Nothobranchius furzeri: one gene and its partners. The protein of the gene in region 3 interacts with the protein of the main gene of each other region in a pairwise test. Links are inferred from orthologs where the notes say so. Each region holds a gene or a part of one and is shown on either strand. Other genes may lie near its edges. The genes, in order: pde6d, unc119a1 and arl15a.

The links.
Region 1: the proteins of arl15a (region 3) and pde6d interact in binary tests that used the Homo sapiens proteins (3 or more experiments, as listed by UniProt). The link is inferred for Nothobranchius furzeri from reciprocal best matches to the Homo sapiens genes ARL15 and PDE6D.
Region 2: the proteins of arl15a (region 3) and unc119a1 interact in binary tests that used the Homo sapiens proteins (3 or more experiments, as listed by UniProt). The link is inferred for Nothobranchius furzeri from reciprocal best matches to the Homo sapiens genes ARL15 and UNC119.

What each region holds. Positions count from the first base shown.
Region 1 is NC_091756.1:55,092,229-55,095,983, reverse strand, and holds the start of pde6d (retinal rod rhodopsin-sensitive cGMP 3',5'-cyclic phosphodiesterase subunit delta), read right to left. Parts: upstream 2,652-3,755; 5' UTR 2,446-2,651; coding exon 2,396-2,445; intron 884-2,395; coding exon 795-883; intron 43-794; coding exon 1-42. UniProt on the Homo sapiens protein: Promotes the release of prenylated target proteins from cellular membranes. Modulates the activity of prenylated or palmitoylated Ras family members by regulating their subcellular location.
Region 2 is NC_091753.1:37,598,391-37,602,145, reverse strand, and holds the start of unc119a1 (protein unc-119 homolog A), read right to left. Parts: upstream 2,801-3,755; 5' UTR 2,375-2,800; coding exon 2,251-2,374; intron 1-2,250. UniProt on the Homo sapiens protein: Involved in synaptic functions in photoreceptor cells, the signal transduction in immune cells as a Src family kinase activator, endosome recycling, the uptake of bacteria and endocytosis, protein trafficking in sensory neurons and as lipid-binding chaperone with specificity for a diverse subset of myristoylated proteins.
Region 3 is NC_091757.1:56,429,122-56,432,776, reverse strand, and holds part of arl15a (ADP-ribosylation factor-like protein 15a), read left to right. Parts: intron 1-1,041; coding exon 1,042-1,250; intron 1,251-3,655.

The DNA of each region.
Region 1 (3,755 bases), on a different chromosome or scaffold from region 3:
TGGACACCGCTTTGCATTTCAGGATCTTCTTTGGGACACGAGCTGAGACAGGAGAGGAGACATCACGGTTAGGTCAACACGTCCAAACTACTGGATATTATCAACCATCAGATTTGTTTTGGAGCCCACAGGACAGGGTGAAACCCATCACTACTGAATATTTACTTTTTATTAACCCTCTCGAGCTTAAAATAAGTTTTGATAAAAGGAAAAACTGCTCATGAAATACGTATGTGGAGTAACCAGGTAGGTAGGTTTTAACGTTGCAAATCTGCAACGCCTGCCTCCTGAGGGTTGAAATGATCTAGAACAGCTGTGAATAGAGTCTAATAATATAATTATTGATTTGTTAAACTTGGAAATAGAGGGAAAAAAATTCAGCTGCAGAAAAAAAAGGAGGGCAAAAACAAATCCTAACTTTTATCATTAGAGATAGTGTCCCTTTTTGGTAATTCTTTTGAACGTTGATTGGTTAAATGGGTGTTAAATAAGGCACTGGTTGTGTGGGAGATTAGTTGAATTTGCTTTTTGGGCGTAGAAATGTAGAGGTAGTCAGAAACTCAAAGTATTTGCCAGATTATTTTCTTAATCACCTCTTTACCCTTTGTTTAACATGTTTCTCCTTTAAAATCAAAGATAAGCGAGCTGAGAGATCTGAGGAATGTGAAGCGGTTATGTGAATTTTGTTTTGTCACACTTTGTGCCAATTTGTTTTTACTCCCATATGGAGTCTCAAATAAAAGTAATGAGCGTGTCATTTACCCATCTACTGTATAATGTATGCTGCGATTTACCTTCATGTTCGACTCCAGGTACAGACAGGTCCTCTGTTCCCTGCCACAGCACCTTACCCGTCTCTGCATCCCGAAGGTTCATCCAATTTCTGCCAGCACGATGTTAAGTAAAAACAGGCAAACACGGCAAAGAGAAATGGAACCAGACCCTTTCTGCACCCACCCTGATTGTTCCTGGGCAAAATTCAACATTGAACCAGAAAAAAAACATTTAATCCAGTTTCTCAGAAAAGGTCCAACAACAAACAGCAACAGTCTGCAAAATTCTCTGGGAACAAATGGGAAATATTTAAATCTCGCTGAAATTATGAGCTTCCTGGCATCTTACAGTTGTTCGTGCCTTTGCAGTTCTGGGGTCCTCGGCTTTGGAACCACAAGAAATCAAACAGTCCACATCGCTGCCCACCTTTAAAGCAAGGCATAAGCTGCATTTGAGATCTGTTTCTTCGTTGTTTTTATTTACATTTTAATGTTTTCGATCACTATTTAAATTGTTTTAACCTCTTTTTTTTAATTGTTTTTTTATGTTTTCATCTCTGTATTTTATTATAGAGCTGTTTTATTGTGCTGCTTCTTTGCACTATGTTCAGCACCTTGGACCCCCTTCATTGGGGGTGGGAAGAGGCTTTATAAATAAAATGATTGATTGAAACACCATCCAACCTAGAAACTCCCTCTAAACTCAGACGACTCAGAACATGGGCAGTGTCTGGATATCTATAAGCATTTGAGTAAAATCACAGATTGAAAAAAGTAACAGCTGCAGCTCATGGCATCACTTACGGACATCCCAGCTTCCTCAAGTAAACTATTCCTCCTGCTTCGTGCAAACAAAATATATTAAAATTAATGCATTTTTTTATTTTCTTTTGATGAGATTGACGATTTTCTCTAGAATCCGACCAGATGGCAGAGGTGCTGATGGGGTTCACCGGTAAAGTTGAACATGCCACAGAAATCACCTCTTACAATATTTGTTGTCATCACGTAAAACATTATAAAAGTCATCACCACACCACACAGCTGTCATGATGAACTCACGTTTGGTGCTACAGTGAACAGAGTGCTGACTTTATGAAATATTTTCCTCCCTCAAAATCAAGACGGTGCTCGTGGCCAAAACTTTGGCTCCAATTAAAGGTGGAGTTGAATGTTCCACTCTGCGGCAGAACCACTTAAAAGTTTCTAGTTTGATTCAAGGACTTTTAAAAGGTACAGCCAAAAGAAACGGTTGCTAGCAAAGGTCCTGTTCAGGTTGGGTAGCAGCACACACAGGGGGCCAGCTGCAGCACCAATCCACCTGAAGTCCTCACGCAAAGCTGCTTACATATGGAGCTAACGGAACTAGCAGCTTCCACGACACGCTCAGACAACATGTTTGATCGGTAACAGCCCCATAAAACCGAATTTAATCAGTCACACCAACAGGCAGCAACTTACAGGTTGTTAGCACGTCGGAAATTTTGCCATTTAACGGTTAGTTAGCATGAACAGCTAGCTGTTTTAGAATCTTAGGAGCCGACTTCTAACTGCAGCAGTAGTTATAACAACACATCAAGCTTAACCGTGAAAAACATTACCATCACCCAGTGGAAGGATACAGTTTAAAGCCCTTCAAAATCTCCTTGGCCCTTTCCTCACTCCGAGACATCTCGGGACAGTTTCCGTTTATTACCGATTATCCAGAATGTGGGGGGGAAATGACGCCGTTAACTTTATCGTAGCAGGCCAACCGGACAGTCGAAATTCGCCAGGAATAGAGCAGGCAATACGAAATTAATCCAGAACAGTTAGACTACAGGATAAATCCGATTCCAATAATGCAATCAGCTAAACATACCCGCCCACGGACAGACAGCTCTCACAGCCACTCAGTGGGAACGAGAACTACTACGAACCAATCACAGCGCGTGAAAGAAAAGTAGGCGGGACGGAAACGGATAGAGCGTTTCGCCGTTAAAACCAAACACCAGTTTCCTCCGTAAGCGATTCCGTACTCTCACCTTATTCCAAAAATGCATCCTTTAACAATTAAGAACTGTTCTTTTGTGGACAGGAACTGCAATAATAAAATCCTTAGATGTTGGCTCACTGACGCCCTCTTTCCCTTACCTCTTAGAAGACGGGAATTAGTGCGTCAATTTAGTAATTCTGATGTTAAAAACATTAGATGCAACTATCCCAAATTCCCAATCCCTCCTAAAGCCAAGGAAGTTCATTTTAAAACTATAAACAGTATTTATCCTTGCAAAGATTTCTTGCAGTCTAAATTTAATATTGGAGAGAACAATTGTGCCTTTAGCACTTCTAATATAGACACTGAGATACATTTATTTTTCACATGCATCTTTACCAAAATTTTCTGGGATAGTTTTCACTCGTGGTTAACGCATAATAATTTCATTATACGCTCCTTATCTTTTTCTGACATCAAGAATGGTATTAGTTTGGAAAATAAAATGCAGCAATTCACTGTCAATAATTTGATTATTTTCGCCAAATTCTTTATACACAAATGTAAATTTGGCAACATCAAACCGATCTTTATTGTTTTTTTTTTTAAAGAACTTGCATCCTTTATGGATTCTCTTAAATTATGTAGTTCCAAGAAAGCCATTTGGCTCTATAACAATTTGGTAAATGTTTCCTTTACCCCTAAAAATGTTGATGTAATATATATACACACACACACACACACACACATATATATTTATATATATATATATATAGTTATGATTTCTGCAGGTTGATATTGAGCTAGGTTAATATTATTGTTTCTGTTTGTACACCTGCTTTATTTTGTCATGCTCAGAATTCAACTGTAAATATTGATTCTTATGTAAGCCTGTAAGCTTTATTGGTTAAATAAAACTTGTTTAAAAACGTAAGCGATTCCGCCATATTGGCAGGGTAAACTTGTCAAAAGTACAAACCAACACAAGCCTTCCATGCAGCATGCTT
Region 2 (3,755 bases), on a different chromosome or scaffold from region 3:
GAAAATGGTAGAACTTTATTTATTTGTTGTTTTTTGAAATGTTCTTTAATTTTGACCAGTTTGGACCTTTGTTTCTGTTAGGTTTCAGAATTCTATGAGATCCACACTTGTGTTAAGGCCTTTATTTGAAAAATAATCATTTTTCATTGCTCCTGTTCCCAGAGTGCTTTTCTTATCCTTGGATTATATTTCTCTCCTGTTGCTGCCTTTGTGATTACCTGCTCCACTTCTGAACATCGAACCAAAGTGTGACAGGGTGAATCTGGGTGACAGCAGAATGGCGAAATGTGCCCTCAAAAATCTCTGATTGTTTTTGCAATTCTGACATTTTAAAATCTCTTCCATCAGTGTCTGAAATAACCGAGAAGTCTTGCTGGATTACAGCATGGATTTGTCATGGTGTGGAATAAAAACAACCAGGAACAATCTTAGACTGTTGCTATTTTTGGGTTTCGGGTGTTCTATTATCATTTTAATCCAGTGTTATTTATTACCTGTGTGTAATCATTACAGAAGGCAGTGTTACAGCCATCCTGACGTAATCCAGATTACATGTCACTGGAGAGCAGAGATTAGTACACCATCATAAGTGATTTAGGATTTAACACACTGATGCAAGCTCTGTGCTTCTCTTAAACTTAAAGTTTACTAAATAAAAAGTAGAGACCTGTTTGTTGGAGATGCCAATTGTAATTATAATTTTATTCTATTAACACAGATTAACGTCAATGAAGCAGCTTATTTCCACCGTCTCATGTTCATTTATTTTGATTTAATGACTTTTTACAATCAAACAATTCAGAATTAAATTAAAAGTAAACCTAATTTAAAGAAATGTGGTTTTTGTTCTTTTTATTTTGACACACAGCATGTTTGCGTTTGTAAATTATTTGTTTACATGATGAGAAGTTGCCTGATGTGGGATTTACTATCATTGATACTGAGGCGGATTATTAGAGATCAGGGCAGCTGACGCTCAATATAGCAGTTTTTAGAATTTTTGTCAGTTGTCATTAAACACAAGAATAAGCTGGATAAACACATGTTTAGCAACACTTAAAGCAACCTGCAAACTTAAATATTAAAGTCTTCTGGATTAAAAGGGTCAGCTGATTAAAATTATAAAAAAAATGCTACATTAACAGCTTTCAGCTTCATTTGTGAGGATTTGCTCACATTTCCTCACAGAGTTGTGGATAAAACTGCAGGTAATAATGTTTTTGCCTCTGCATGTGCATGTTTGTTTCTGTTTCTGTCTGATAATCGGACGGATTTGATTAAAAGTCTCAGAAAATAACTTTTAAAAGGATGTCTGCAACCGATCCAAGGTGGCCACTGAGGACATAGAGATGTTGAAATTTTAATCAGTTTCATGGACATTGAGCTGTTATTTCACATGATAGTGTCTGATACCATCCCCAACGCGTCCTCTGAGATCTAACAGATAAGGTCTTGCATTATTGTGCAAGATGGCCTTGTCTCCAAAACGGTTATAATCATCTTCCAGCGTAAGCGGTGCTTGTTTTAAAAGGAAAGCAATAAATGAAAGCAACAACGCTAAAAGTTGATCTGTAAAGTTAATATTTTCTGTAAATATGAAAAAAACTAAATCCAGAGATGATCTCTCTAAGATGTTTGGTGTTGATGCGAGCTCCAAGCTAACTCCACAAATATGGAATATGCTCTGTGTTTATTGCTAAATTCAGCCTGAGTGTGTAACATTTCCCTCAGCACTCAGACAAAAGTCTGACGTCCACACGTCTCCACAGAGAAAATGTTTCAATGAAAGAGTCAGACTTTGTCTGAGTCCAGCTGACGTAGCGTCAACACATTTTCTCTTATATGATGAACAGCACAGTAATAGTTACTCAACCTGTTTTTGTTCCACTGAGCTATAATTAGAGGATCACATCCCTGGACACCTGTTAAGTCAGAGCTGCAGGTGTCTTCAGGTAAAGCAGTGGTAAGAGCCAACTTTCTTCATAGTTGTTTCATGTCTCCAGGGCTCGTTTATCCTTATTCTGTCAGTGAACAAACGCTTTTAAAGGTAATAAAAAGTAAAATCAACAAAATCAATTGCAGAAAATTTGAAATAATGAACCAGCTGCTTATGAACAAGAAGAACCTGCTTGCACACTAAAGCTGTGAAGACACTCTTATCGTCTCAGGCTGTGTCGCTGTCCATGGTAGCAATGGTCTTGTGATAATCCCCCCCCCCCCCCCCCCCCCCCATTACAGCAGGTTACTCACTCTCGGTGATCTTCTGGAGCCCGAGCACATCCTCAGGTGTTATTACGGTATTTCCACGCAGCTCTTCCTCGGTTTTCACCGGAATCCCCATGTCTGATGAGTTGCAGCCTTGCTGCACTTTCATGTCCTGCAGAAGACGGGAGCTCGGCGCGCGACCAGCCACGAACTGAAGCTTTTTCTTGGGTGATGCTGTCGTAAAAAACGGATGCGTTGGAGCGTTTAGTTGCGCGCGCTGGCTAAATCATCGTGCAGCAAAGCAGACAACCAGCTCCGTGTTGCTTCAAGAAGAACTCATTCTCGGTGCCTACCCCCCTTCTAGATGCTGGAGAAAAAAAATTAAGTCAGCTCTCAGCTCCCTCCCTCCCTGCTTTCCTCTCACAAGCTGTTTAATCCAAATCCTGCTCTAAAGCAGGCATGGCGCACGACTGCCCGTCTGTTCCCTTTTTATCTGCTGATGCACCACTTGGCTTTGACTGGTTTCCCACCTCGGAGATGTGTTTGCCTCTTCCAGGTTATCTTTGGATCCTGATCTGGTGAAACGGCACAGCCCAAACAACACAGCTGGAACTTTACTAAAGACATACGGTCACAAGCTGTAAATATAATAGTCCAGGAGGCACCATTAATTCAATTCAATTCAATTCAAAAATACTTTATTTAATCCCAGAGGAAAACAATTAACAGTGCTCATTTAATAATAATAATAATAATAATAATAATAATAATAATAATAATAATAATAATAATAATAATAATAATATACTCATCGTGTTATTACCATGCCATTTTTCTCTGCGCATTGTTAGCTTCCTGAACGGCCTCAGTTTGGAGAAATACAGCTCGCATCCTAACAGGACTGTTGGACTTGTCTGAGTTATTCTGCTTTCCTTAAAGTGTCCCAACCTCCTGATTTTCCTCAAAATAGTTTTTACTGTTTGTGCACAGCTTTACAAATTTATTTAAATGAAACTCTCCAGTTATTTACAAGCACTATCAGCAACATGCTGTAGCACTTCCTGGTGACTCCAATGTCAGGTTTAGCAGGCATTCCTCATCGTTTTTACCCAAAACACCCCAACACAAAAACAAAACAAAACAAAATTAAACAAAATAAAACTAACAAAACAAAACAAACAAAAAAACAAAAAACCCATTACTTGAGCCTTTTTAGACATTGGAACAATCTGCTTTGTTACCGGGAATGCATTCAATTTTTTATCACAGATTCTTAATGCTCATTCTATTTTTCATTTTATCTTTAGTGTTTTATGACGTGGACATTTATTTTTCTCTGGAATAAAGCTGGATGATTTGACAGCAGTGTAAAGGATCTTAAAATGAAGTTCATAAAAACCTCTGATTTGAGTTTCATGACAGCAGTAATCTTCTGCTCCTGTCAAAAAATGGTTCAAATCATCGGGATTTTACATCAGTTTTTAAACTTTACCTTACACCCCTGTCAGTTTAGTGTTACACAAATATTTATGCAGAAAGACAAAGAAATT
Region 3 (3,655 bases):
AAAAAGTATATATATATATATATATATATATATATATATATATATATATATATATATATATATATATATGAGCCAGTTTTCAACTGGTTAGCCTCTCCTGTCTGCAGACAAATCAGCTGTATCTATGTTCTGTCCTCTTTCTACATTTATCATTTGTGAACGCTTCATCCTGTAGACTTTTTTTATTTGATGGATAAAAAAAACATTTTGGTTTCTAGAAAATCCTTTTTGTGCAGTTGTACGGGAAGGCCTCCACGGGGGTCAAGAGCTCATCTTAATCTACCACAGCATCCAAGAGCTCCTCTGCTTTTGTAGAGAGCCAAAGCTTCAAAGTTGACCAAAAAGTGACCTCCCTCGGTTACTCACCTGACTTGAATCATTTAGAGAACTTGAGGACTCTTCGTGAATGCTAGAGTTACAGGATTACTTTGAACAACGTTTGGGAAGCTGTGGTTAAAGAGCAAGTCACCCCCAAATAAACTTTTTTTTGCTGATAAACTAAATAAACGAGTGTCTAATCGTGCTGCAGACACGTGTAGTCAATAATTTGGCATTTCAGTGCATCTTGGTTAAAATTTAAATTTTCTGCCTAAAATTGGCAGTGTTGTGCCGTTGTCAGGTAAAAACTCTGCACTGTATTTTAATTTAAATCTGCCACCGCTATTGGCTAAGAGGTATGCTATGATTAAAACTGGTACATTATGATGTCACAATGCTGTCGTGAGCCTGTGTGTGTGTGTATTTGTTAGCAGCTCCGCCTTCTCAGTCTGCCAGGCAACAGCATTTGTTGCATTTTTCAAACATGAAGTGAGAGTGGAGTTAGACTCTGGTAGGGGTTGACTTGCTCTTTAATAATTCACTGAAAGCTGATGACAAACAGATCAAGAAACTGGGTGGGTTCCATGTTACCACTGTCGTTTGTTACAAAATGTCTGTACAGTACCTTTTTTTGAGACATTAACCCTTTTCTTATGACAGCCACAACTTTATTTATAAAAGAGCTGTGTTTAGAAATTAAAACTGCCTCATATTTGTCTGCAGGAGCTGACAACATCAAGAAATACTGGAGTCGGTACTACCAGGGGTCACAGGGTGTAGTCTTCGTACTGGATAGCGCCTCATCGGACGAGGACCTGGAGGCGGCGCGGAACGAGCTCCACTCGGCTCTGCAGCACCCACAGCTCTGCACACTGCCTTTCCTTATTCTTGCCAATCATCAGGACAAACCTGCAGCAAGAACGCCGAGTCAGGTAATCTGACCTCTTTACAGTGTTGTTTTAAATATTTTTGAAATTTCCTCTTATGCACCATAAGAACAACCCCTTCCACACATTTCATCTGAAAAAAAAAAAATACAGTTTGGCGTATTGGACGTTGCACACATGCTGACATACTCATCGTTGAACTTCTCTAACAGAGAGAATGAATGTTTTCACTTTCACTGCTTTAGTTACACAATCTGTGTTCAGTGTAATCACTTGTCAGTCTTCTAACTTAATAAAGAATTACAGTTTAATGGTTTAGAGTGAATGCGATTGCACGACCCTGCGAACGGAGGTTTGGATTTGTTGGACTCAACCTTGGTTAAACCTTCCAAGGCAAGTAGTTCCCTCGAGCCATAATTAAATCCATCGACAGATTCTTTTAGAAAATATTTTGGCTGGTAGGAGGAACCGCACATTGAATTGGAAAACCAGTGTCTACACCTGCAGCCTGGCCTTGAACATGCAGGCAAGTCCACTGTGAATGGCCTAATGGGGTAGATAACGCTCAGCCACTCAAGAAGTAATGGAAACTACTGGTGTCTGTGCCAGAGAGCTTAAAGGAGACGTGTTGATTCACACATTAGACCTCAGTTTGCTTCTACAGAAGTTACCCTGCAAGGGTGACACCCAACCACCCCAGCAATGACGAAGAAGAACAAAGGTGCAATGGTGGCTCAGTAATCAGCAGGGTATCTGCGGGTCCTTGAAAAGTCTTAAATTAGCTTTTCCAAATTTAAGGCCCTAAAAATCCTTAAAAATGACAAATAATCCTCAAATACAGTTTCCAAAGGTCTTAAATTACCAAAGACCCAATAAAAAAGATTATTTTATTTCTACAAAATTTTTGTGAATTTCTAGTTAGTGTTCAGCTTTTTTTGTGTACGATGTTGCCGTAAGCGGAACCGTACACACTCAGCTGGTTGTGAAAGGGGGCTATTTTTAGATGAGCACATTAGCTGGTTAAGCTAGCGGGAGCTTGCGCCATGGGGAAGTGCAAGTTTAATGCTAACTGGATGGCTAATCCCACGTTCGCGACGTGGTTAGCACCGGTTCCAGGCAATAGCTGGAAATTATAGCTTAGATTAAATTTTTAAAATAGCTTAAATTTGGTCAAAGTGGCCTTAAAAAAGGTCTTAAAAGTCTTAAATTTGACTCCCTTAAACCTGCAGATACCCTGAATCAGGTTCCAACCCAGTCAGTTATGTCAGTCGTTTCCTTCACTTTCTTCTCCTGCTAGTGGTGGCCGGACGGACCGGTGGCACCCGTTTGCCCGTAAAACATTTGTTTCATGCCTCTGGCTTTCTAGCGTTCCAACATTGTTTAGCTATAAATATATCGTAAAGGTAAAAAACAGGAAACAGTTATGAACTGCTTTCTTACATTCATTTAAAAACCTGATCCAATAGGTTGGCTCTGTCCGAAACCAACGAATGGACCATCTGGTTGCCTGTCTCACTGGACCACCTCACTTCCACATTTACCTGGGTCCGCCATTCATCACGCACTCGCACATTTTGCAGCAGAACACCTCTGTTGTGGTGTGAGAGGTTTGCAGCTCAATAAAATCAGAGAAGGAGAAACAGCCAGCTGCTACCACTTCTACTTTAGGACAAACTAACAGTCCCATAAAGAAAAACATCGTTTGAAGTCACAGACAACAAAATACGTTTGGACCCAGAAAACTGTGACTGGTCTAGAGGGGTCTCTCTCTTACCGGGGCAATGCGGATTCCTGTTTATCCCCTCCAGGCCTAGGGATCATATCAGAAGGGGAGAGACTTCCGTAATCATGTTTGTGTTTAAATGCTAGCTTGTGTTGCAGATGTGCCATTTCAGCTTTAATTTGCATTTAAGGCTATTTATTTTAACAATTGCTTTTCCCAATAAAGATCTATTTGAATATGCTTTTTTACCGCTTTGCAGCAACAACGTCTTTTCTCACTCAAAAACTATGATTTGCGTCGGGAAATTGATGAACAAGCCACTGACCTCCTCATAAATATAGTTCTACGGACATTTTTTCTAGCTCTGCTCTAACTCACTGACAGAAAGGGCCCTTTATTGTAGGATGTTATGGCTAGCATTCCCTGTGCAAAGCACACACTTGTGCCTGACACCTCACTTCTCTGCACACTCACAAACTCCCCTCACATTAACACACACACACACACACACACACACACACACATCACCTGTTTAATGATTCTGATGGAGAACTATGATGAACGCCTGGAGAGAAGACCATCTGTGTATCTCACCGTAGACCACCGGCGTAGCTGCTTTTCAGTAACATGAAATCTGCAAAGGGAAATGTGAAGTCGTACACCTGATCCATTCGTGTCTCAAAGCTTTTAATCCCCCTGATATAGTTGGGTTAGGTAATGATGTGGA